Mus musculus: one gene and its partners. The protein of the gene in region 1 interacts with the protein of each later gene in a pairwise test. Links are inferred from orthologs where the notes say so. Each region holds a gene or a part of one and is shown in the gene's direction. Other genes may lie near its edges.

Region 1 (5,860 bases):
GTGTGTGTGTGTGTGTGTGTGTGCATGTTTGGACCTGTACAGCAATGTGGATGTACAGTACATGTACACCTCTGGCCAGAAGCTAGAATGTACCTGGACCCAGGATGGTGTAAGACAGGTGTGTGGGACGTGTGTTGGGGTATAGGGAGAGGCTGGCTAGCACAACAATCTGAGAAGAAGGGAGGAACACTCTGCTTGCAAAATAGACCATTGGTACAGAATGCGAACATTTGAAAAGCACTTAATGCTGGGCGGTGGTGGTGCACGCCTTTGATCCCAGCACTTGGAAGGCAGAGGCAGGCAGATTTCTGAGCTTGAGGCCAGCCTGGTCTACAAAATGAGTTCCAGGACAGCCAGGGCTATACAGAGAAACCCTGTCTCAAAAAACTAAAAAAAGAAAAAAAGAAAAAAGAAAAAGAAAAAGAGAAAGAAAAAGAAAAAGAAAAAAAAGAACTTAAGGTTTTCTTTTAGAGGTCTGGTCTTGCTCTGTAACCTTGGCTGCCTGGAACTAGCTATGTTTGAGGGGTATTTAAAAGGCAAATTCAAGCTGGGTGTGACTTGTAATTCCAGCTCAAGAAAGTCTGAAGCAAGAGAATTGAGGCCAGCCTAGGCAACATAGTGAATTTTAAGCTAGCCTGGACTACAGAGTGAGACCCTCTTTCAAAAGCAAAACAAAATTGGGGCGTGTTGGGGATTGGAGAGATGGCTCAGTGGGTGAGAACATAGGCTGCTCTTTCAGGGTTCTGCTCCCAGTTCACAGCCATCTGTAATTCCAGGTCCAGGGGATCCGATGCCCTCTTCTGGCCTCTGTGGAAAACAGGCATGGTAGTGGTGCCCAGATATACAAGCAAGCAAAACACTCATATGCACAAATAAAACTGTATGTCTGTGTGTGTGTATACATACATACATACATACATACATGTGTGTGCGCATGTGTAAACTGTCTCGGTCTGCGTGTAAACATAAAGGCTTGTGTTTGGATCCCTAGCATCCACATGAAGGTCTGGTATGGTGGCACCTGTCTGTAAACCCCGGGGCTGAGGGGTAGGGTGGAGTTAAGTGGATGTCTTGGGGAATCGCTGGCCAGACAGTCTAGTCAAAGTGCTGAACTCCAGATTCAGTGAGGAACCTTGTCTCAAAAAATAAGGTGGCAAGGGACGGACAACAACTGATGTTGACATGGACACCTTCATACACCAGATATAAAAAATAAATAAATAAATATTTTAAAAAACGTAAAGTCAATAGCCTTGTCCACTGGAGGATGGTGGAGAATGGAGAACATCAAGAACGATTTTGAGACTTGAGTCCATGAGTCATCCATCTCCCTTTAGCCTGTCTCCCAGTCTAAAAGCACAGAAATGGCTACTGCCCTCCCTAGCTCCCACCCCTTAAACCAGTTCATTCAGGACTGAGAGCCAGCTTCCAAAGTAGCCATTTTTCTGGGGAGCATACGTCCGTCCATGAGCTGAAGAGCACGGGTAAAGTCGTGGAGACCGACATCGATCAGTTCAGACCCTGGGATAACGGATGTTTTGGTGTGTGTGTGTGTGTGTGTGTGTGTGTGTGTGTGTGTGTGTACACGGGGATCTTGAAGAGTCGTCACAGCGAAACATTTAAGCAGGATCCCCTCCGAAGATGTTCTTTTTGGAATGTTTGAAGAACAGAACAGGTGCTTGCTTGGACTGTAGGGCTTGAGAATTAGGGTTGGAAATAAAGAACGAGTGAACGCACTAAGATGGAAGACGTCCAGGGGCGAGCGCGAGAGTGAGAGGGACCTGTGGATGACACGCAACACGTTGAAAGCCATACCGGAGTTTGGATTTCTCGCTTAGTCTACCTGGGAAGGCACAGGCGTACTGCCTCGATTCTCAGGTCACCTCGGTCTGTACACAATGTTGGGTAGGGCAACACAGAAAGCCCCTGGAAGCTGGGGTGGCGGGAGCGCGCGCGGGGGGCTGAAGGGGGGGTTGTTTCTAGGCAGAAGCTACGGGTCCCTCTACTCAAGTCCAGGGAAGCGGCGGCTTTGGACAGAACCATTCTCAGAAGATGGAAGGGAAGAGAAATCCATCACCGTGGACTCGACCCCACGGAATAAGCTAGGCACTAGTTCATCTCTTTCTTTCTTCTTCTTTTATTTACTTCCTATCTCGTCACCACTGGCTGCTTTCTTGCAGGATCCTGAGTCCTCGGCACCACTAACTGATCAACGGTCACCCCTAGCGCCACGCGTGGTACAGCCCAGTGGAGCCCGCTCCGAGCACAGGTTATAAAGCCCCGGCTGCGGCAGCGGACTGCGGAGTCAAGATGCGCCCGAAAGAGCAGGTGCAGAGCGGTGCGGGAGACGGGACAGGGTCGGGGGACCCAGCAGCAGGCACCCCCACGACCCAGCCTGCAGTTGGTCCCGCTCCGGAGCCCTCGGCGGAGCCCAAACCTGCTCCAGCGCAGGGAACCGGGTCCGGACAAAAATCAGGATCCCGAACCAAGACAGGAAGCTTTTGTCGGTCCATGATCATTGGTGATTCGGACGCACCATGGACCCGCTACGTATTCCAGGGGCCTTACGGTCCCCGGGCCACTGGCCTGGGCACTGGAAAGGCCGAGGGAATCTGGAAGACACCAGCCGCGTACATCGGCCGGAGGCCCGGCGTGTCCGGCCCTGAGCGTGCGGCGTTTATTCGAGAGCTGCAGGAAGGTAAACTGAGTCTCGGGGATCCCGCATTGGGCACTATTTGGGCATCTCCAGGTAGGAGGGGGTGCACCGACTCAGGCGCCCCGCCCCCTTGTGGCTCTTAGTTCCACCTTTCCACCACCCCCGCGAGACCACAGTCTGCGGTGCCGGTTTGGTTTCTCTTTCCCCATCTCCCCCCCCCCCTTTTCCGGTTTCCCGATTATTGTGGGTGCGTCAGGTCCAGAGCTCTCTCGCGCTCTCCGCCCGCCTCTTCGCGCCTGTTGCTGTGGCAGATCTGCGCACTCTCAGTGCCCCCTCCCCGTCTACCGCAGTGCCAGCAGAGGGGCGGGGGCTGCGGGTGCGCTTTGAGCCTGCGCTAGCCCGCAGGAACCAGCCTGCGTGGGTGGGTAGAGGTGTGTGTGTAGGGGAGCCTTTGACCACTACTTGTCCTCAGGGGGTCTGGGTCGTACTTTTCCGAAGCTGGAATGAAGAGGGAGGAGTGGGCGGGGCACTGGGCTTCTGTCCCTCCTCTTCTGGGCGGGGGCAATTTTAGGCTCAGGTGCCCGCTTCTGGGTGCTGAAGAAGTCTACTTGGCCCTCCTGTGACAAGCAACAGGTTTAGGATGGGTGACTGCATTTGTTTTTATGATCGAGGAGACTCCAGTGATGGCTAAGATGCCGATTGGGGGTGGGCATGATGAGCCCAGTATTTTCCCTGACTTCTTATCTCGAGGGGCCCAGAGACCCAGGGGTCTTGAGAGTCCAGTTCCTGAGCCCAGAGGATGGTTTTGCCTTTACAGCATCCAGGCCCCTCCTGAGAAAGCAGGAGTGGGGAGATCCGGAGCTGTGGAGAGGGTGTTAGGGCCAGATGGAGTGCAGTCTCACAATCTTTGTTGTGAGGGGTGTAGTGGTCTATGGGCAGCCTCGGCTCCTTTCCCTGACCCACTTGGGCCTTTCCTCCTGCAGCGTTGTGTCCTAATCCACCACCCACGAAGAAGATCACCGAAGATGATGTCAAAGTGATGTTGTATTTGCTGGAAGAGGTGGGTACCGCCTTCCTCACTCAGGCCAGCCCTCATTTTAACTCTGCCCTACAGGACTTCGGGCTTTTGTCTGTTTTCTTCTTGCCTGGGAGCCAACTTGAAGGCCCCTTTCCTGGAAGGCAAGTAGATTACAGAGGACCAATCTGGACTGATCTTATCAGACCCAGGAGATGGTTAATAGTCTTTGGTACTTGGATGACTGGGTGCTGGAGAGATAGTCTTCTTGTGACCTAGCCCTGGTTTCTCCCTCCTGTTTGGGAGGTCCCGGAAACTTCGAAGGAATTGGAATGGTTGGCTCTTCTTTTGCAGAAAGAACGGGACCTGAACACAGCCGCCCGGATCGGCCAGTCCCTGGTGAAACAGAACAGTGTCTTGATGGAGGAGAATAATAAGCTGGAAACCATGCTGGGCTCAGCCAGGGAGGAGGTATCTGGGTTCCTAAGGACCAGGGAGAGTTCCGTGTGTCCCCTCCCCAGACTAGCACCCGTTCTGCCCCCTTGTGCTCATCTTTCCGTGGCTTCTCTCCCCTGCCCTAGATTTTACATCTCCGGAAGCAGGTGAACCTGCGAGATGACCTTCTTCAGCTCTACTCAGACTCTGATGACGATGATGATGAGGAAGACGAGGAAGACGAGGAAGAGGGCGAAGAGGAGGAACGAGAAGGACAGAGGGATCAAGACCAGCAGCACGACCACCCCTATGGTGCCCCCAAGCCGTACGTGTTCGGCCTTTGTGCCCGGGATCATCCGTTCTCTGAGCCTCAGTTGCTCGTTTATAAATGGGCATGGGCCTGCTGACACTGTCATTGCTGGGGAAGCCTTGGGGACTGGGATCCTCCAGCCCTTACAGTCTGACTCTCATCATCGCCCTCCCCCCCCTGCCAGACACCCTAAGGCTGAGACAGCGCACCGCTGCCCACAGCTGGAAACCCTGCAGCAGAAGCTCAGGCTTCTGGAGGAAGAGAACGACCACCTGCGAGAGGAGGTGAGGACAGTGAGGAGGGCGCGCCCTTGGGCAGGGGATGGTGACAGCCTCACCCCTTCCTTTTTCCCTTCCTCCAGGCCTCCCACCTTGACAACCTGGAGGACGAAGAGCAGATGCTCATTCTGGAATGTGTGGAGCAGTTCTGTACGTGTGACACCGTTAATTCAGAGGAGGGCACTGTCCCAAGAGATGAGAGGATGAGCTAAGGGTTTGGAGCCTGGAGAGCAGAGCTGAGGTCCTGGCTCTGGGACTTGGCCGCTGTGGTAGCCCAGACAGATTCCTTGGTTTCCCTGAACCTTCATCTTTAGAATGAGGACTGATAGCCACGGCCTGCTCCTCATCTTCTCAGGGTTTTGAGAACCATTGTTGAGCGTGGTGGAAGCTCACCTGGAACCTCAGCACTCAGGAGTCAGAGACAGGAGGGTCAGGTGTTGAAGACCACCTAATGTGGGACTCTGGAGAGAGGGGGGACAGGCGGGGAGAGCACGCGCCCAGGAAGGGTAGAGCACTGCAGAACACATAGAGGCCATTAGGGTCTGTCTATTATTTGGAACAGTCCAAGCTGGCAGGGTGGACAGGATGGCAGGGAGGAAGCCAGGAGCTGCCAGAGCCTGGGCACTTAGGGCTGAGACAGTTCACAGTCACACACTGATTCTAGGCTGTGCCTAGCACCAAGTTAGCCTTCGTCAGTCCCTGAGGACCTCAAGCCTACCCACTGAGATGCAGATTCAAAGGGATATATAGCATCTGGCTTATGCTCTTTCCAAATCTCATCTCTGTCCTTCTTTCCCCTGCAAGCCACAGCTGGCAAGTCTCAGTGTCTCTAGCCCAGGACACCTCATAATATATAATGGGGTCTCTCTACCCATCCAGGTCCCTTTTTACCCAGCCAGGATGAGTTTCTGTGACAAAAATTCCAAAATGGCTTCCCATTGGTCCAAGGATAACGGCAACCCCTTCCCCCATCTCTGCGATCTGGTCTCTGCTCACTGCCCTGCCCCTCCCCCTCCCCCCTGCCCATTCCCTGCATCTTCCTTCTCGGTGTGGTGGGGCTTCCATAGCCAGAGGCTCCTTCCAGAGCCCTTCCCAGATTCTGCAGCACTGAGTTGGTCACATGCTCCACCTCTGGGACCCTTTCCTCTTCTCTTCCCTTGACACTG
Region 2 (5,678 bases), on another chromosome or scaffold:
TCAATAAGAGATGGGTCTCTTTAATCTATCTTGCTTCCAACTGGCACCCATCAAGTGCCCTAATGATCACACCTACCCCCAGGAGAACACCTGACTGCCTCTACTTTGTTAAAAAGCCCTACTGAGCTGGCAGTGGTGGCGCATGCCTTTAATCCCAGCACTTGGCAGAGGCAGGCAGACTTCTGAGTTTGAGGCCAGCCTGGTCTGCAGAGTTTCAGGACAGCCAGAGCTACATATTGAGATCCTGTCTAGAAAAACAAAACAAAAGGAAGCCATAGGGACTGAAGGACCTTAAATCGTTATGATATTAGGACACCCATTGGTGCCAGGACAGATCTAGCAATGAATAAATTAGGTAAGAAAAGAGGTGGTACTCTGGTTTTTGGAAATGTTCACCATGAAAAGCTCTGATAATATAGCACAGTGGAGAGTTCTTGTCTAGCATGCTGGAGATCCTGGATTCAATCCCTAGTAGTGTGTCCTCTTTCAACAACAACAACAACAACAACAACAACAACACAGAAAAGAAGGCTCTGAGGAGAGCTTACATAAACTACTTTCTTGTAACTCTGTCCCAATAAAATCCAACACCCTGGTCCTGCTCATGCAGAAACTGCCTTCATACTTTGGTCATCAATTAGATTATCTAGGCTGCTTCCAGAACTTGTTGTTTTTTTTGTGAATAGTGTTGAGTAGGAAAAGATTCTGCAAATTTGGTTAAAGCTTCTAGTGTGGAAATCTTCCTAGCTTGTGGGTGCATCGTGCACCTGAATAATAGAGAGGTAGAAAGAGAACATTTGTTGGGTTGGGGAGACATAACTCTGCAAAAGTAAGGAACTTTTCTATGTCCTCCTTGCTTAATGACACGGAGACCTTTATATTTATTATAAAGGTGAGGCGCAGAGCCAGGCAGACTCTAAGCTATTCTAACCAAGTATGCTGGCCTACTTCCCAGCCATGTGGACCTTTCCTGCCTTCTCAGGCTTGCTCTGGCTCCTCCTCCTTCATTCCTGTTCGGATTCCTGTCTCCCTTCTCTCCCACCTGAGATGCTCTCTCTGTCTCTGGCCTCAGAAGTCCTGCCATATCCTCTCCTGCCCAGCCATAGGCTATTAAGCTCTTTATTTAACCAATCAGGAGGTGATAGAGAATAATATTTTATAAAATACTGAGTCATACTAAAGTCGAGACTGGAGCTGGACCTCTGGGTACAGGAATCAGACAGAATACAGAGTGCACAGAAATGTCCCTCAGCATAACTCAGTAAGAGAGCTTACTCAAAATCTAGAATTCCATCTCCAGCACAAAACCAAACCAAAACTTTAATAGTTAAAAAAGTAATTAAGTGCTGGGCAGTGAGTGGTGGTGCATGCATTTAATAACCCCAGCACTTGGGAGGCAGAGGCAGGCGAATTTCTAAGTTCGAGGCCAGCCTGGTCTACAGAGTGAGTTCCAGGACAGCCAGGGCTATACAGAGAAACCCTGTCTCGAAACACCCCGCCCCCCCAAAAAGAATCTATTAATTCTTCCCCAACAAGTTACATTCCCAACCCTTTTGTGTTTTTGTTTGAGCACTGACAAATGCTCACACTGTAGCCCAGGTTGCTCTTGAATTCTCCAGGTTGCTCTTGAATTCTCCAGCCTCAACCCCACCCCTGTCCCCCACCGAGTGCTGGGATTCCAGGCTTGAGCCCCCACTCTCGATCAACAAGCAGTTGGCTTTGGCTGACACGCTTCCTTCCTCTCCGGTTAACATTACTACTCCCCACTCCCGAAGCTTTCTCAGAAGGCAGTGTCGGCTCGCCCAAGAGCCTCCCGCTAGCTGCCGTGCGCCTGGGGGCGTGGCCTGGTGACTCCGCCCCTCGCTGCGTGCGCACGTCCTACCGTCCTGGCGCTCGCCCTCTCGGCTGCGAAGGTACAGAGAGAGTCGCAGACGCGGAGACTGACTGACCTGCGGAGCCACTGACGGTGAGTGGTCCGCTCTGTGCCCCGTCCTCCCCTCCCGGGTCCTTGCATGGCGGCGGCCTTCTTCGAAGCTCTGCTCCGCTGTCCCCCCGCGACTCGTCCTCAGCCTGAGGGGACGTCGGGCGGGGGGTGGCCGGAAGCGGGCTGAGGCGGGCGAGCGAGCGAGCGGGAGACTGGGGGTCGGAGAGGGGCCACCGAGCGGGCCTTGAGCGTCAAATGAGCCCGAAACCGCGGACGTCGCGCTCTAGACGGCTTTGAGCTCCATCCCCAAGAGTCCTCTGGTGTTCCCGTGGGGCATAGCCCCTCCCAGCGTCACGAATGCTCTTGAGGTGACTCCGGGGTCGAAGTTAGTGCAGCAGCGCAGCACATGAGCCTACCTGAGGTCCCGGAGGAGCCCGGGGCGTGGCGGCCTTGTTGGCCAGCCTTCAGTGGCTCCCCTCGGTGGCAAGATCCCTTAGAATCCCTGTGGGGACTTGATGAGTGACCTGTGGTTCTGAGTGCAAGACTGGGAGGACTCAGTCGTAGATGTAGCCGGTTGGTCTGGCCCAGGAGGTCACCTGTCACCACCAAAGCACAGAGCTCCAGGTGACTTAATTGCTCTGTAAGAACTGCCTGGACCGCCTTGCACACTGCTTGCACAAGGACTGTCTTGTGTCATGCCGTTTAAATTGGTTCTGAAGGACCAGTTGTGGCCTGTGTTCAATTGTGGGCACCGCAAACTCAACTAGAGAAGGGAGTGTTCCCGAAAGACAGAAATATCATATACTGTCCAGTTGAGGGAGAGCGCTTGCTCTCCAGTCCTTTCTAAATCCTTGAGTGTTTTACTACCTATAAAGTGAGAATATTAAGAGACTCGTGAAGTAAATCCACGAACATTCCACAGGCGAGATAACAGCACTGAAGATCTTAGTTATGCATAGACATCCTGTGATTTTTTCAGAAGTGGATTAGAGATTAGAAATGGTTTTGTTTAAGTGGTCATACTGGCCTTAAACAGTCTAGTCATGTAGAAGGTTTTGTGCGTTCCTATTTCTGGTATAGTGCTTCAGTTTATAATAGTTATTATAAATGTCATTTAATACATAATTATTAAGAAAGTTTTTTTTGGCGGTGCAGTTTGAACAAGATGAGCATGTATTTTACTACTGAGCCCACAACCCTACCCAGTGTTTTGTGTTTTGAGAAGGAAATCTTGCCATGTAGTGTGCACTAACTGAATTTGAGATCCTCAGGCTCCTAACTGTTAGGATTATGATGAGCTTGCACTATAGTGCCCAGCCTAAATCTTTTTTTCCCCCCTTTGAGTCAGGCTCTCTCAAAATTATTTAGTCCTGTCTTTAAACTTTCTCTATAGACAGGCCTCAACTCACAGAGATCCCACTGCCTCTGCCTCCTCTGTGCTGGGATTAAGGTGGGTACATCATGCTGTTTTGTCAATGTTTTTAGTTTCTTTGAAGAGTAAAAAGTATTCAGTTTTTTCTTTTTTTCCCAGAAACATCACAAGACATAATCTGTTTGCTAGGAGTTCCCAGTTCAGTAGGATATTTATAAATTCACTTGATAAAAATTGGTAAACATTTGCTGATAAAGTCCCTCAGCCAAAACACTGATTAGGGTGTGAGGATCTGTGAGCCTTGGAAAGTTGCATGCTTACTGAATGGCCTGATCTCACTGGGGACCTGAAGAGGAAATCCTGCAAGGCCCCTGGTTTGACTTGAGTTCCTTTCTTTCTTTGCTTGTGGCAGTCAGTTGAGACGTTGAGTCACTAGATATAGGAATATGAGTGCTCTACAATTGCTAAAGCCACTGAGCTACAGAGGTCAAATGTTAATTGTCTTTAACTTAGTCAGATGTGTTGAAACTTGGCAGACTTGGATAGTTGGGCCTACCTTGACTTTTAAATTTTTCTTTTAATAGCAGACTGTACAGGACAGCTGTACTTTGCATCAGAATTGCACCAAAAACTAGAATATCACCCTTCCAGAAGGCAGATCTTTTAGAAACTGGAATTGCATAATTCAGAGTAAAATTCATAACTTAGCCTTTCACTCCTTGGAGAAACAAAACAAAATAAAACCTCAAATGGTCTTTGAATCTTACTGGCCATAGTTAAGTAAAAAATTAAATGTATTCCTTTTTTGGATGCTTGGGAAGCAACCAATGGGAATTTCGGAGCTGGTATAAGACATAGTGATCTGCTGTAATTCCAGCATTTGGAGTTGTTCAAGGACATCCTTGACTACTTATGTCCATTGGTGTTTTTCCCACGTTTGTGTCTATGTCTGATCCCCTGGAACTGGAGTTATAGACAGTTATGAGCTGCCACGTGGATGCTGGGAATTAAACCTTTAGAAGAACAGTCAGTGCTCTTAACTGCTGAGCCATTTCTCCAGCCCCCTAATATCAGTTCTTGGCAATAGAGAAAGATTTTTTTGCTTGCTAAAATTTGTAGCCAGGTATTGGTTTTCTGACTTTTTTGTAGCATCTGAGCTGGAGTTGGGGTGCAAGGTAATCTACTTGAAAATTCAGGAGCAGCCAGACAGTGGTGGCATATGCCTTTAATTTCATCGCTTGGGGGGCAGAAGCAGGCAGATCTCTGAGTTCAAAGTTCAAAACCAGCCTAGTCTATAGAAAGAGTTCCAGGATAGCCAAGGCTGCACAGAGAAACTTTGTCTTGAAACAACATTATATGTGTGCTCATCAGGGAGGCCGGAGCACAGCTTGTGGAAGTTGGTTCTCCTTCCACAGTGAGATCTAGGGGTCAAACTCACATGGTTAAGCTTGCACTATTACCAGAGGATCCATCTTGCTGCCCAAGGAACTTTTTTTTTTTTTCGGTTTTTTGAGACAGGGTTTCTCTGTATAGCCCTGGCTGTCCGCCTGCCTCTGCCTCCCGAGTGCTGGGATTAAAGGCCTGTGCCACCACGCCCGGGTAGAAAGAGACTTTTTTAGTTGGCTGTTTAAATTTTAAAAACTGAGATGGGGGTTGTTGAGGTTGGAGAGCTCTGTGTTGGTTCTTTCTTTACAACCATTTGAGTCCCAGGGATCAAACTCAGGTGGTCATGTTTGGTGGCCTTTCTCCACTCTACTCTCACTGGCCCTGTTTTGCTTTTGAGATAAGGCTTTCACTTTGTAACCTAGGGTACACTTGAACTGGAGATCCTTCTACTTTAGCTCTTTGAGTGCTGGTATTACAGTGTTTCCCATTATACCCAGTTAAAAACTGCCCTGCTTTTTTATTCTTAATTTTTTTTTAGATTATTTTTTACTTATGAGTGTTTTGCCAGCATGTTAAGTTGTGTACTATATGTGTACCAAGTACCTGAAGGTCCCTTGGATCTAGAATTATGAATGGATGTAAGCTACCATGTGGCTTACTGATCCTGAACCTGGGTCTTCTTCAAAAGCAAGTGTTTTTACCCATGGACCCATCTCTCCAGCTGCTTTTTTTTTTTTAAGATTTATTTATTTATTATATGTAAGTACACTGTGGCTGTCTTCAGACACACCAGAAGAGGACATCAGATCTTGTTACAGGTGGTTGTGAGCCACCGTATGGTTGCTGGGATTTGAACTCCTGACCTTTGGAAGAGCAGTCGGTGCTTTTACCCGTTGAGCCATCTCACCAGCCCCCGCTGTTGTTCTTTTTAAAGATAGTCTTACCTGACTGGCCTGGAACTCCATATATTAAGATTGAAGGGATCTTCTGCCTCCT
Region 3 (5,127 bases), on another chromosome or scaffold:
AAGTGGTGCTTTTGAAAGTTAAAACTGAACATTTTAACCAACTGTCTTGTTTTAGATATAATAGTAAGTACTAGTGGTTAACTGGTACTGAATCTATTCTAAAATGCTGGGTATGATTTTAGGGGGTTGATCTTTGAAGAAATGCACTTTGAAATTTTAACATGGTTTTTAGGTTTGTCATGCTTTTGTCTGGTGTTCTAAGGGCAGTAAAGGCTGTTGGAGCTGTGAACTGAAGGAATGCATGATTGGGAGCATGGCCTTGAAACTCGGGGAGGATTATAGCTAATGATAACTGATGCAGTTTCATTTTTGTTTTAGTGATGACTCCTCTGATGGCAGCTTATTTAAAACTCAGTGTGCTCCTTCACCTATACAAAAGCAAAGACACCCTACTGTGAAACGTGTTACTTTACCTGCAAGTGTTGAAACAGATTCATCAAGTGACTCTTCTATAGAACCAAGGCCTCTGACTTTAAAGGCTATTTTTGAAAGATTTAAAAAAAAGAAACGGAAAAAGAGGAAAAAGAGAAAATATGAGCCAAAATTAAGACCAAGAGGAAGACCAAGAGGAAAACCATCGGGAACGAGGATCACTAGAAGGTCGCAAATAGATGCAAAACAAATTAAAGACAAAGGAGCTGTGTTTCCATTCTTAGAATCTGAGAGTGGAAGAAAACCTTTACCTTGGAAGAAAATTTTAACATATGAGGTGAGTTTTTTTTTTAAATGTAGGTGAATACATTAGGTAAGATTGAATGGTTTGTTGGCCATTCTTAATTGTTTGAGGGACACCTGAAACAGATTGTTACTTTTAACAATAGTGACATCCATATAAAGTGCTCCAATTTTCATCTCTTGCATCACTAGAGAAATGTGCACAAGCATATTTATCAGTGTGCACACAGATTTATGGAGTTGTACTCCAGCTGGGTCCCTTGAGGTCCCTTATATTATCTCTAGACTATTCTGAAGCACACCACACCCAGCTTGCTTTCAGCAGTAGTCAATCCTTTGAGTACAGGCGAGAGAGAAGGTATGGTACCATTTAAGGCCCACTTTTAGAAGTCCCAGGAAGGGCTGGAGAATAGGACCATGAAGGAAGCTGCTGGTCCTGGGCATTGTTAGCCTAGGACCTCTTGCTCAGAATGGTAACACCCACCCACAATCTAGGCAATCATACAAAGATCCTCTGTTGAGGATCCCTTCTAGGGTAATTCAGAGCTATGCCAAATTGACAGTTAAAAGTTAACTAGTCAAGGGCTAGAGAGAAAAACCCAAGTACCCAGATACTACTTAGGTTTCTCAAATGTTTGAGTATTAACTGTTGAATGGTTGCAAGTGGTCGGAAAATGTAATCAGTGATTAATGTCTACTTTGTATTTATTTGTGTATGCACGTGCAGACATGGCAGAGCTTGCCAGTTTGGGTTGTCTTCCTATTCACCTTGTTCTTATTGTCTTTACTACCCAAGTCTGGAATTACAGTAGAACCATCATGCACATAACATTTACGTGGTTTCTGTGCTCTCACATCTGGTCCTTTTGATGAACGGCAAGCCATTGTTTATTTAGCCTCTTGGTACAGTTTCAAACTTGATTATAATTAGTATATGATGTTTTAATATTTAAGGAATTGTGTGTTCTAACTTGCAGCAAGCTGTTGCAAGAGGATTTTTTCACCACATTGAAAAACTCAAGTATGAACACCACCTTAAGGAATGCTTGAAGCAAATGCATGCTGGGGAAGATTTAGAAAAGGAAGACCTTGACAGTCGGAGGCACAAATACATGGATGATGATGGTTCACTTTCTCCTATTGAAGAGCCATTGTAAGTTGGATCTTGAAGGGCAATTTATGGGGTTTGTCATATTTAAGCTAATTTAAAGACAGTCTCACTACTGTACAGCTTTGGCTAGGGTTGAACTCATTTACCTGCCTCTCAAGTGCTGGGGTGGGTGTGCCATCTATAAAATGAAGATCCTATAAAATTCTTCAGTAGTAATCGTAACTTCTAGTCCATTTAAGATTGTTTAATCTGAGGTAATGTGCACAGGACATCAGCTTTGGGAGGATTATTTTTCTTTGACTATAGGTTTCAATGGTATCAGAATACTAGGTAAGATTTGTGACACATTCCATTTAATGTTACAGAACTGAAGATGAAGCAACAAATCCTCAGGCTGAATGTGATATCAAGTTGGTTGTAAGTGGCTGATTTTTATTGTTTCATTTACAGAATGTACAAGTTGTATACTATTGAATTTTTGTTTAAGAGTGGAACTACTATTTAGGCTATTTGATAACCAAGGATTTTTTTTTTTTTTTGTGACTCTTCCTCTTAGTCCCAAGTGTTGGGGTCTGAAGCCTTGTCCACATTTATATTTATGCCAAGGTATCATACTGCTGAGTTATAACGCTAGCTTTGAATATTTGTAGGATATTGAGGCCAGAGGTTAGACTGGCCTCTTGAGACCTCAAACCAGTGGATTAACCTACCAGCATGGTCTTTGCTCCTGCTATTGGCTTACAAAATGTGTATCTCTGCCTGGCTCCAGTCTTAAGATTTTTTTTTTTAAACTCAGTATTATGTTTTGTTTGCATGTAAGTATACCAGGTGTATGCCTGGTGCCTGGAACTGGTAGGTGCAAGGAATTGAATCTTAGTCTTAATTAAGAGAAGAAGCCAGTGGGCTGGTGAGATGGCTCAGTGGGTAAGAGCACCCGACTGCTCTTCCGTAGGTCCAGAGTTCAAATCCCAGCAACCACATGGTGGCTCACAACCATCCGTAACAAGATCTGACTCCCTCTTCTGGTGTGTCTGAAGACAGCTACAGTGTACTTACATATAATAATAAATAAATCTTTAAAAAAAACAAATAAAAAACATTCAATTTAATATGTAAATGTTAATTGTTAAAACTTTAAAAAAAAAAGAGAAGAAGCCAATGTTGTGGCTTATTTTGTGCTGTTTATTCTATACTGTTTTCTACTTAACTGTGTGAGTGCTTTACCAGCATGTATACCTGATTAATGGAAGAGGGCACCAGGTCACATTTACCATATGGTTGCTGAAATTTAATGCAGTACCCCTGAAAGAACAGCCATTGGTGTTTAACTGCTGAGGCATCTTTCTAGCCCTGAAAAGCCAGTATTTTTAACCACTGATCTAGCTTCTGATAAAATAATAAAGAACTTTTAGCTAATCTGGTGTGCTGTCAAATGAGAAAATAGTGCTGGTATAGTAAGGAATATATTTGCACTCACCCATCAGTGAGTTTAGTTACTAGTTTTTTTGTTTTTTTTTTTTTCTATTAAATGCAGGAAGACAGTTGCTTCATAATAAGTTCAGAATTCTCAAGGAAGAGAAACTTGGAACAAGAGAAGATTAAGAAAGAATCTACATTTTCTAAAAAAGCCAAAGATGCCACACACAGAGAGAAAGGGCACAGAAGAACCTTGAAAGGAAATGAACATGTGACTATTGAAGAAGGTAAAGAACATAGATAACAGTGTATGCCAAGTAGATCAAGAACTAATCTGGGGAAGAAGATAAACTTGCTGGTGGAACGCTAATAAATACTTAGTAAAGCTTTTTTCGTTGCTTGATTTCAGAGTAAGAAATACTATAAGGATTATTTTACTACTATAGTAAACATGATTGTGATTCTGGAAGGAAAATGCTAACAATCCTATACATGTCTAGATTCAAGACCCCAGCCTCGCCCTTTTGCTCATCTGCAGAGCAAGGTCATGAAGAAAGGAGAGTTAGAGTATCTGGAGGTTCACCACCTCTGTGGTCTGTCGCAGCCACTATGACTATGAGGAGGAAGAGATGATTTGAAAATTGGATTAAACTCCTGGACTCTTATACTAGAAAAAATAAACTAATGATAAAACCCAGCCTCTTAAGTGCTTAGCCCAAATTATTTCATATTTGTGTGTTTTGCCTACATGCATATGTGTGCAGTACCCAAGATCAGAAGGTATCTGTGCCTGGAGATCTAAAGTTACAAGATGGTAATTAGCCAGCCATTGTTGGTTATGAATATGATTTCCTTTCCTATTCATAGATGGGCAGTGGTGGCGCATGCCTTTGATCCCAGCACTTGGGTGTCAGAGGCAGGTGGATTTCTGAGTTCAAGGACAGCCAGAACTATTCAGAGAAATAAAAAAAAAGTTATTATCTGAGCTTTCTCTTCGAACCCACACCCAGGTTCTGTCTGCAAGTCTTAAGTCAAACAAGTGCTTATCTTCCCCAAGGGGGGTTTGAATATTACCACTGTTCCTACTGTCCTATTGTGGTCACAATTGTAAAACTGGCTGTGTCAGATATGGACAGCTTTGATAGCACTTGTGTTTTTGTCAGCTGTTGGACAATGGCCAGTTGAACAGGTGCAAAAATATAAATCCTCTTGCAACCCAGAACTCATTGCTCAGTATGAGTTTTGATATATACAAGAAGGAATATAAGCACAAAGGTGTTATTGATGAACTTGGTTCTAGCAATATCATATATAGTTTACCTTATAAAGGTAATGGAGTAGATGGATATTCCTTTTTTTTTAAAGGCTTGTCTTGATTATGAAGTCAGAATTGGAAGATACCCATGAATGGATGTTTGTTTCAGTGTTGTAAGTAGCATGTAAATTTACATCTTCGGAGTTATGTTAACTTTCAGTGATGCTAATTCTATGAAAGTTTTAGAGTGCTCCAACCCCTCAGTAAATCCTAGAACATTAGAATCAATAATTTGAACTGAAATAGGTATGTTTAGCAGAAGAACACAAAAATAAGGCTTTAAGGTCTTATACTCAATTTACAATATTATAAACTTCTCAAGCATGGTACATCACAAATACAGTGTTTGAAAAGTGAGTTAACTAAGAATCAGACTGCCACTTTATTTAGTTTTATCTATCTGCCTGATGTAATTGTCTCTGAGCCTTACTGCCCATCTGCTAAAGAAGGCCTATCCTTGGAAGCTTACAATCTGATGTAGGTTTAGAATGTTTTCAGCCTTGGAGACTTTGCTGAAAAAGCTCACCCTTGATATTGTCTGGTTTACCTCAGGTGTTCTGGCTCATTCCTTCAAGCTGACTGATTCATTCTGACTTCTGCCTCAAACTAC
Region 4 (5,895 bases), on another chromosome or scaffold:
TGACCTTCATCTTTTGGGAAGGTTTGGAAGACATTTACAAAATAGGAAACCTGGGGATGTGCCATAGAAATGACAATTCCAAAATCCTGCCAGCACTTAGCTCTCTGCCAGTACAGAGTTAATAACTGGAAATACAGAGACACCCCTTAATACAACAGGGGTCTAACTGGCATGCAGCTTGTTATAGGTATTTCAGGTGTGTGATTTTGCATATTTTGACATGGACTTACTCTTGTGAAAGTGTCCCTGTGTTAGTAACTTTTCTGTTGCTGTTTTGGAGATGCCAGTACCATGAGATGACCACCAAGAGCAGCAGCAGCAGTGGAGTACAGGCATCTGGAGCCTAGAGGATGACGCGTGTGCTACAAAGGGCATGGCTGGAGAAGTGACCCAAGCCCTTGGAGGAGCCCAGAAGATTGTAAGTTGGATCCCAGACATTGGACGGTTGGAGATTGACTTTTGCTTTTGATTGTGGCTGTGCCCTGATATTTTCCCTCTCGAAGGAAGAAACTGTTTTAGTGGAGCCCACAGTTAAGAGACTTTTAATTGTAAAAAGACTTTGGATTTTAAAAGAGATGGCTATTTTAAAGAAATTGAAATTTTAAGAATATGTAAAGACTGTGGGACTTTTAAAGTTATCCGTTGTTAAGAGCTCTGTCGGATGTTGTGTAGGAGCTTGGAAGACAACGTTGAGAACACTGCAGAAGATGGAGGTCTGGTTTGTGAAATTTCAGAGGGAAAATTAAAGACTCTTTTCAGGGCCATTGCTGTTTTGATTGTGAAGATTCTGTAGTTCTGGTTAGCTGGGGCTGAAGAATCAGCTGTGATTAACAAGATACCAGAACTACTAAAGCAAAAACTTTGCATTACTGGGACTATTGATGCTGGTTAGCTGGAGCTAAGAAATTAGCGGTGATTAAGAAGAGACCAGCATCATTGAGGTGACATCTTCTGGGAAGTGTTTTCTGAGAGCACAGTGGCTGTGTTCCAGATATAGCCAAAGTTGTACATTGTGCTGTGGCTGGACTTGGTAATGTGTAAGGGTCACCCAGGTGGTACTGGTTTTGAAGGCATGAAGGAGTTGAGCAGAGCACTTACTATCACTCCTAGTGACCCTCTAGGAAAATTTTTGCTTCCTGTCCCCATAACTCTAGGTTCTGCTGGCCTAGAAGTTTTGGCTCCAGAGAAGGGAGTGCTCCTACCAGGAGCTACAACAAACATTCCATTGAACTGGAAGCTCAGACTTCCCCCTGGTCATTTTGGGCTTCTAATGCCCTTAAACCAACAGGCTAAAAAAGGAATAACAGTGTTAGGAGGGGTGATAGATCCAGATTACCATGGGGAAATTGGATTACCTCTTCACAATGGTGGTAAGCAAGATTATGTCTGGAGTGTAGGAGATCCCTTAGGGCGTCTCTTAGTACTACCATGTCCTGTGATTATTAGGACACAGTATATATGTCGCCATTCCAAAAGTGTGGAATAGAGGCATAGCGAAGAAATACTGAAACAAAGCAGGATTAGAAGCCTGTAGGAAAAATACCAAATCCTGTAGCTCCATGACTGGTATCTGTAGTCCTAGGGCTAGACCGCTATGATAGCTATTGCTATTCTTGGTTGTCATTTTGACAACCCACACCTGTAATTATCCTAAACCTCAAGGGGTAAGGAGTTCCTGTAAGGAAATTTTCTTGATTTTTCGTTTGAGGTGGGAAGATGCACCTTAAATCTGGGCCAGGTCTTCGGGTGGCAGCCTAATGGTCGTGGAAGAAGGAAGTGCATGCTTGCCCCGACTCTCGTTGGAAAGTTCACTCCATTGCCATTAGAGCCTAGTTCTTCAGGATTCTGAAGTATACCGGGGACAAGCTGAGCCATCTGTCAACGCCTGCGCCCCGCCCCGCCCCGCCCCGCCCCGCCCCGCCCCGCATAATCCACCTTGCCCCATCTCTGGGCGTTCCCCCCGACCCCACCGGTTCCATTCTCTCCAGGAATCAATTGTCTTGTTTCTTGGCGGCACACTCTGCTGGGTTCTCCGAGGCCTTTAAGTTCATCCCCGTGCACTCTGTCTCCTAAAATTACAAGCACAGCCTGAGGCGCTCCATCCACCCAAGTGCTTTCTGTCCGGCGCTGAGCGCTTGCTCTGGCTCCGCTGCGCTTTCTGCGGAACCTTGTGTCGTAGACGTGTTTCCAGAGGAGTGAGTTCGCTGTGGTAGTTAGGATTTACCAGCTTCCGGCGGCCGCTCCGACTAATGGCGGTGAGCTGTGGGAGAAGGCGTGTTTGTGGCGAGGCCCTAGGTGGGGAGACCCTGTGAATTTCGTCCTGTCTCACGATTTTTCAGGAGCCAGGGCGTCCTGCTCGGGAGGCACCAGCAGCCTCAAGTCGGAAAACTCATCGCGCTCCGCGCAGACCCCGGCCCTCTCGCTCAGCTTCCGGTGCCTCGGAACCTCCTCTCCGCAGTTCAGTGCAACCTGCATGCGACTCCGCCGCCGGAACCCATCCCGTAGGCAACACAGTAGCGATGAAGCAAAAGAAAAAGAAAACCCCCAACAGGGTCTCTGGGACAAATGGAAGCGAAAAGCCCTCGGAGAAACCTGCCCCGGACGAAGCTCCTCCTAGCGCTGAGGCCCAGGCAAGGATGGTACTCCCTGCGAGCTTTCTGGGCGCTAATCCGCCTGCCTCTGTGGGCGAGCTGTGCGGAATTAAGGCGCTGAAGGTATGGGAGTGGGGTCTGCGGGACCCTGTTACCCATCACAACCATGTCCTCCTTTCTGTCCCAGGCGGAACAGCTGGCGCGGGAGCTGGCCTGGTGTGTGGAACAGCTGGAGCTGGGTCTCAAGACGCAGAGACCTACCCCGAAGCAGAGTGAGGGACCCTTCTCTACAGTTAGGGAAATGTAAACGGTGACAGTTCTGTGGTCTGATGGTATTGCCAAGGGGTGGGGTTGTTGCTTTTGGTTGGTTTGCTTTGTTTAGGTGTACTGAAACTTAGTTGTGTAGACCAGGCTGGCCTGGAATTCAGAGATCCGCCTGCCTCTGCCTCCCCAGTGCTGGGATTAAAGGCGTGCGTCACCCCAGCTGGATGGGAATTGTTTGTAGTAGGATGATATGAGTGTGTTTGAAGTCACTAGCTCTTTTTCTTTTTCTTTTTCTTTCTTCTTTCTTCTTTCTTCTTTCTCTCTTTCTCTTTCTCTTTCTCTTTCTCTTTCTCTTTCTCTTTCTCTTTCTCTTTCTCTTTCTCTTTCTTTCATCTGCAGAAGAGCAGGCTGTTGGGGCAATCCGAACGCTGCGCAGTGAAAAAACCCCCTTGCCCCGGAAGAGACAGCTGATGCGCTCCTTGTTTGGGGACTACAGGGCTCAGATGGATGCAGAGTGGCGGGAGGCCCTACGGGCTCTAAAGGCTGGTGAGGAACTAGAAAGCGATTGGTTCAGTACATTAACGTCAAGGGGGTAGGGAGAGGCTCAGCTCAGCAGGGTTGGTGTGGGAAGAGATGGGCTCGGGGGCGGGGGGGATGTAAGTGGGGAGAAAGTATTCTCTCTTAGGGGACAGAGGTCCTGGGGGGAGGAGGGCCGAGGTCCTCACCTCGTTCTGTTTTGGGGATGAAAAAAACAGCTCCTCTGTCTTAGCCTGGGCTCACTTCACTGGCCATAAAGCCAGGTACCAGTTGGACTTTAGTTCCTGGGACTAAATAATAAATAACTTGGACATAAGTCCTGGATCTGTTACTTAGATCATACAACATATCATTTTGTGAAAATGATCTAAATTTTGTTACTTAGATCATATAACATTTTTGATAAGTTACTACATCTCTTGAGTCTCATATGGGAATGACATTATTTACTTTAAGATAATTTTTCAGTTTTTTTTTTTTTTTTTTTAGTTAGGAAAGTTGTGTGGGTAATTGTAACTGCATGGATGAAAGTTAGCTATTCTGACTCTCTGCTCCCCCTTCCTACAGCCACCCATTCGGCCCAGGTACAGCTCGTCAGTGAGGCCACCAGAAAGAAGAGCGGAAGGGTCTGCAGGCCTCGTCCTGCAGAAAGAGCCAAAACCACTCCGGACTTGACCAGCGAAGAGTTTCGGTTCAATTTCTTTTAGGGTCTCCTACATGCTGGACCGCTCATCCCCCTCCAGGGTGGGGTGGGGATGTGTCCTGATTGCAGGGCCTTCCCAGGAATTCTCTCAGCAGAAGTGGGGTTGGTTTGTCCTTCATTGCAGCATGGACCTGAAGCGGCTGGCCTATGTGAGGCTGCTATGTGGATGTGGAAACCTTTGAAGGAAATGTTCTTCATGTCAGAAGAGAGGTGCAGAGTAGCTGCTGATGATAAGGAACTGTGGGGAAGTTGTGGACACAGTGGGCTCACTTTTGAAAAGATGCTCAGGCCATTTTTCTAGTGCTTTGTATATTGTTATATCGCCTTAATAAATCTTTTCTAAGGAAATAGGATGGTGTGAGAGAGAGAGTTCCGAATGTGTTAGAGGAGGCAAGACTGCTTGGTCCAGCTCTGATCCAGGACTTAGTCCTTTGCTGCTGTTGTTGCTGTTTCCCTCAGCAGGTTGTCGTCTTCTGGAGCCAGTGTGGTCTCCATCAAGCCACGTTTTGTTTTTAGGAGCTAAGAAGCTACTCACTGTCTTAGCCTGAGCTGAGTCTTAGCAGACTGCATCAAAACAAAACAAACACAACACAACCTTTATGTGTGTGAGTGGTATTTATGTGTGTGAGTATGAGCATGCTATGTGTATAAAAGCATCTTTTATTTGCCTGGTGTAACTGTCTCCAGAGGCTCACTGCCTTCGTCTGCTAACCTAGGCCTAGACCTGGAAGCTTCTCGCTTGGTCTTATCTAGGCCTAGAATGTTTTCAGTGTCTGAGACCTACTGCTGAATAAGCTCACCCTTTTTAGCACTTTCTGAGCTCTGTGAACTCAGCTGTTCTGACTCAAACGCCTCTGCTAGCTGACTGACTCAATCTGGCTTCTCTCTCTCAGCCTCTTATTTTTAGCTCTGCTTGGCCTCAGACTAACTCTGGCAATCCGTTCTAATCCTCTGGCTCCTCTCATTCTCTAGCTCACTCTGTCTTCACCTGTGTCTAGCTTGTTCTCTTTCTGCAACCTGGTAAAACTGCCTCCCCACCCCCTCTCTCCCCTGCCCCTGCTCCTCCCCCTTCCCCTTAAGTAACTTTCCTTTCCTCTCACTTCCATATCCTATTATGTCAAATCTTTCTGATTTGTCACTTTGCCACTCAGAAGTCACTTTCCAATATTGTGCTTCCTTCTACAAACCACCTTCATGATTTGGGATTAAAGGCATGAGCTATAGCCGAGCCACACCACAACTAAAGACAGGTTTCTGCAGTAAGTAATACAGTCTCAGGGCTCACAGTGTGATCAAATGTCCTGCACGTGTGTGGAAGCGCAGTCTCTAGACTTGGTGGCAGTTGCCTTTACTCAGCCATTTGGCCAGCCCTGCCAGGGTTGACATCTGTACTGTACCCACTGCTCCACTGAGTTCAGATCTTCAGGTAAACCAGCAGTGTTCACACCGTTGTGGTCTGCTGGCGTTGCCCAAACTCATATCCTAGACTAAGTACAACCTGGAGTCCAGCTGCGTTTGCCCTTTCTGGGTGAGTATTTTGTGGGCAGCTCAAACTCAGCGTTGTTACAGAAATACCTAATTGGGTCCCCCGTCTCCGTGTGCTTTTTAGTCAGTGATATTTACTGTCTTATCTAGTTGCTTAGGCCAGAAACTTATGTCATTGTTTATTGCTTGCTCTGTTTGTTTGTTCCTTTCCCTTTCCCTTTCCCTTTCCCTTTCCCTTTCCTTCAATTGAACTCAGGACCTTCGGCAGAGCGGTCATGACCTTAACCGCTGAGCCATCTCTCCAGCCCTGCTCTG

Evidence for each region.
Region 2: the proteins of Hap1 (region 1) and Hmox2 interact in a two-hybrid assay, tested with the Homo sapiens proteins (2 studies listed by BioGRID and IntAct). The link is inferred for Mus musculus from reciprocal best matches to the Homo sapiens genes HAP1 and HMOX2.
Region 3: the proteins of Hap1 (region 1) and Taf1d interact in a two-hybrid assay, tested with the Homo sapiens proteins (2 studies listed by BioGRID and IntAct). The link is inferred for Mus musculus from reciprocal best matches to the Homo sapiens genes HAP1 and TAF1D.
Region 4: the proteins of Hap1 (region 1) and 1110038F14Rik interact in a two-hybrid assay, tested with the Homo sapiens proteins (2 studies listed by BioGRID and IntAct). The link is inferred for Mus musculus from reciprocal best matches to the Homo sapiens genes HAP1 and C8orf33.

What each region holds. Positions count from the first base shown.
Region 1 is NC_000077.6:100,352,528-100,358,387, reverse strand, and holds the start of Hap1 (huntingtin-associated protein 1), read left to right. Parts: upstream 1-2,246; 5' UTR 2,247-2,310; coding exon 2,311-2,698; intron 2,699-3,639; coding exon 3,640-3,716; intron 3,717-4,025; coding exon 4,026-4,142; intron 4,143-4,252; coding exon 4,253-4,431; intron 4,432-4,600; coding exon 4,601-4,700; intron 4,701-4,777; coding exon 4,778-4,844; intron 4,845-5,860. UniProt on the Homo sapiens protein: Originally identified as neuronal protein that specifically associates with HTT/huntingtin and the binding is enhanced by an expanded polyglutamine repeat within HTT possibly affecting HAP1 interaction properties.
Region 2 is NC_000082.6:4,724,506-4,730,183, forward strand, and holds the start of Hmox2 (heme oxygenase 2), read left to right. Parts: upstream 1-1,855; 5' UTR 1,856-1,966; intron 1,967-5,678.
Region 3 is NC_000075.6:15,308,207-15,313,333, forward strand, and holds the end of Taf1d (TATA box-binding protein-associated factor RNA polymerase I subunit D), read left to right. Parts: intron 1-318; coding exon 319-709; intron 710-1,652; coding exon 1,653-1,828; intron 1,829-2,151; coding exon 2,152-2,203; intron 2,204-3,320; coding exon 3,321-3,489; coding exon of another isoform or gene 3,490-3,506; exon of another isoform or gene 3,507-3,702; coding exon 3,703-3,815; 3' UTR 3,816-3,898; downstream 3,899-5,127. UniProt on the Homo sapiens protein: Component of the transcription factor SL1/TIF-IB complex, which is involved in the assembly of the PIC (preinitiation complex) during RNA polymerase I-dependent transcription.
Region 4 is NC_000081.6:76,946,290-76,952,184, forward strand, and holds 1110038F14Rik (UPF0488 protein C8orf33 homolog), read left to right. Parts: upstream 1-1,971; 5' UTR 1,972-2,249; coding exon 2,250-2,255; exon of another isoform or gene 2,256-2,339; coding exon 2,340-2,630; intron 2,631-2,778; coding exon 2,779-2,863; exon of another isoform or gene 2,864-2,894; intron 2,895-3,254; coding exon 3,255-3,401; intron 3,402-3,959; coding exon 3,960-4,099; 3' UTR 4,100-4,690; downstream 4,691-5,895.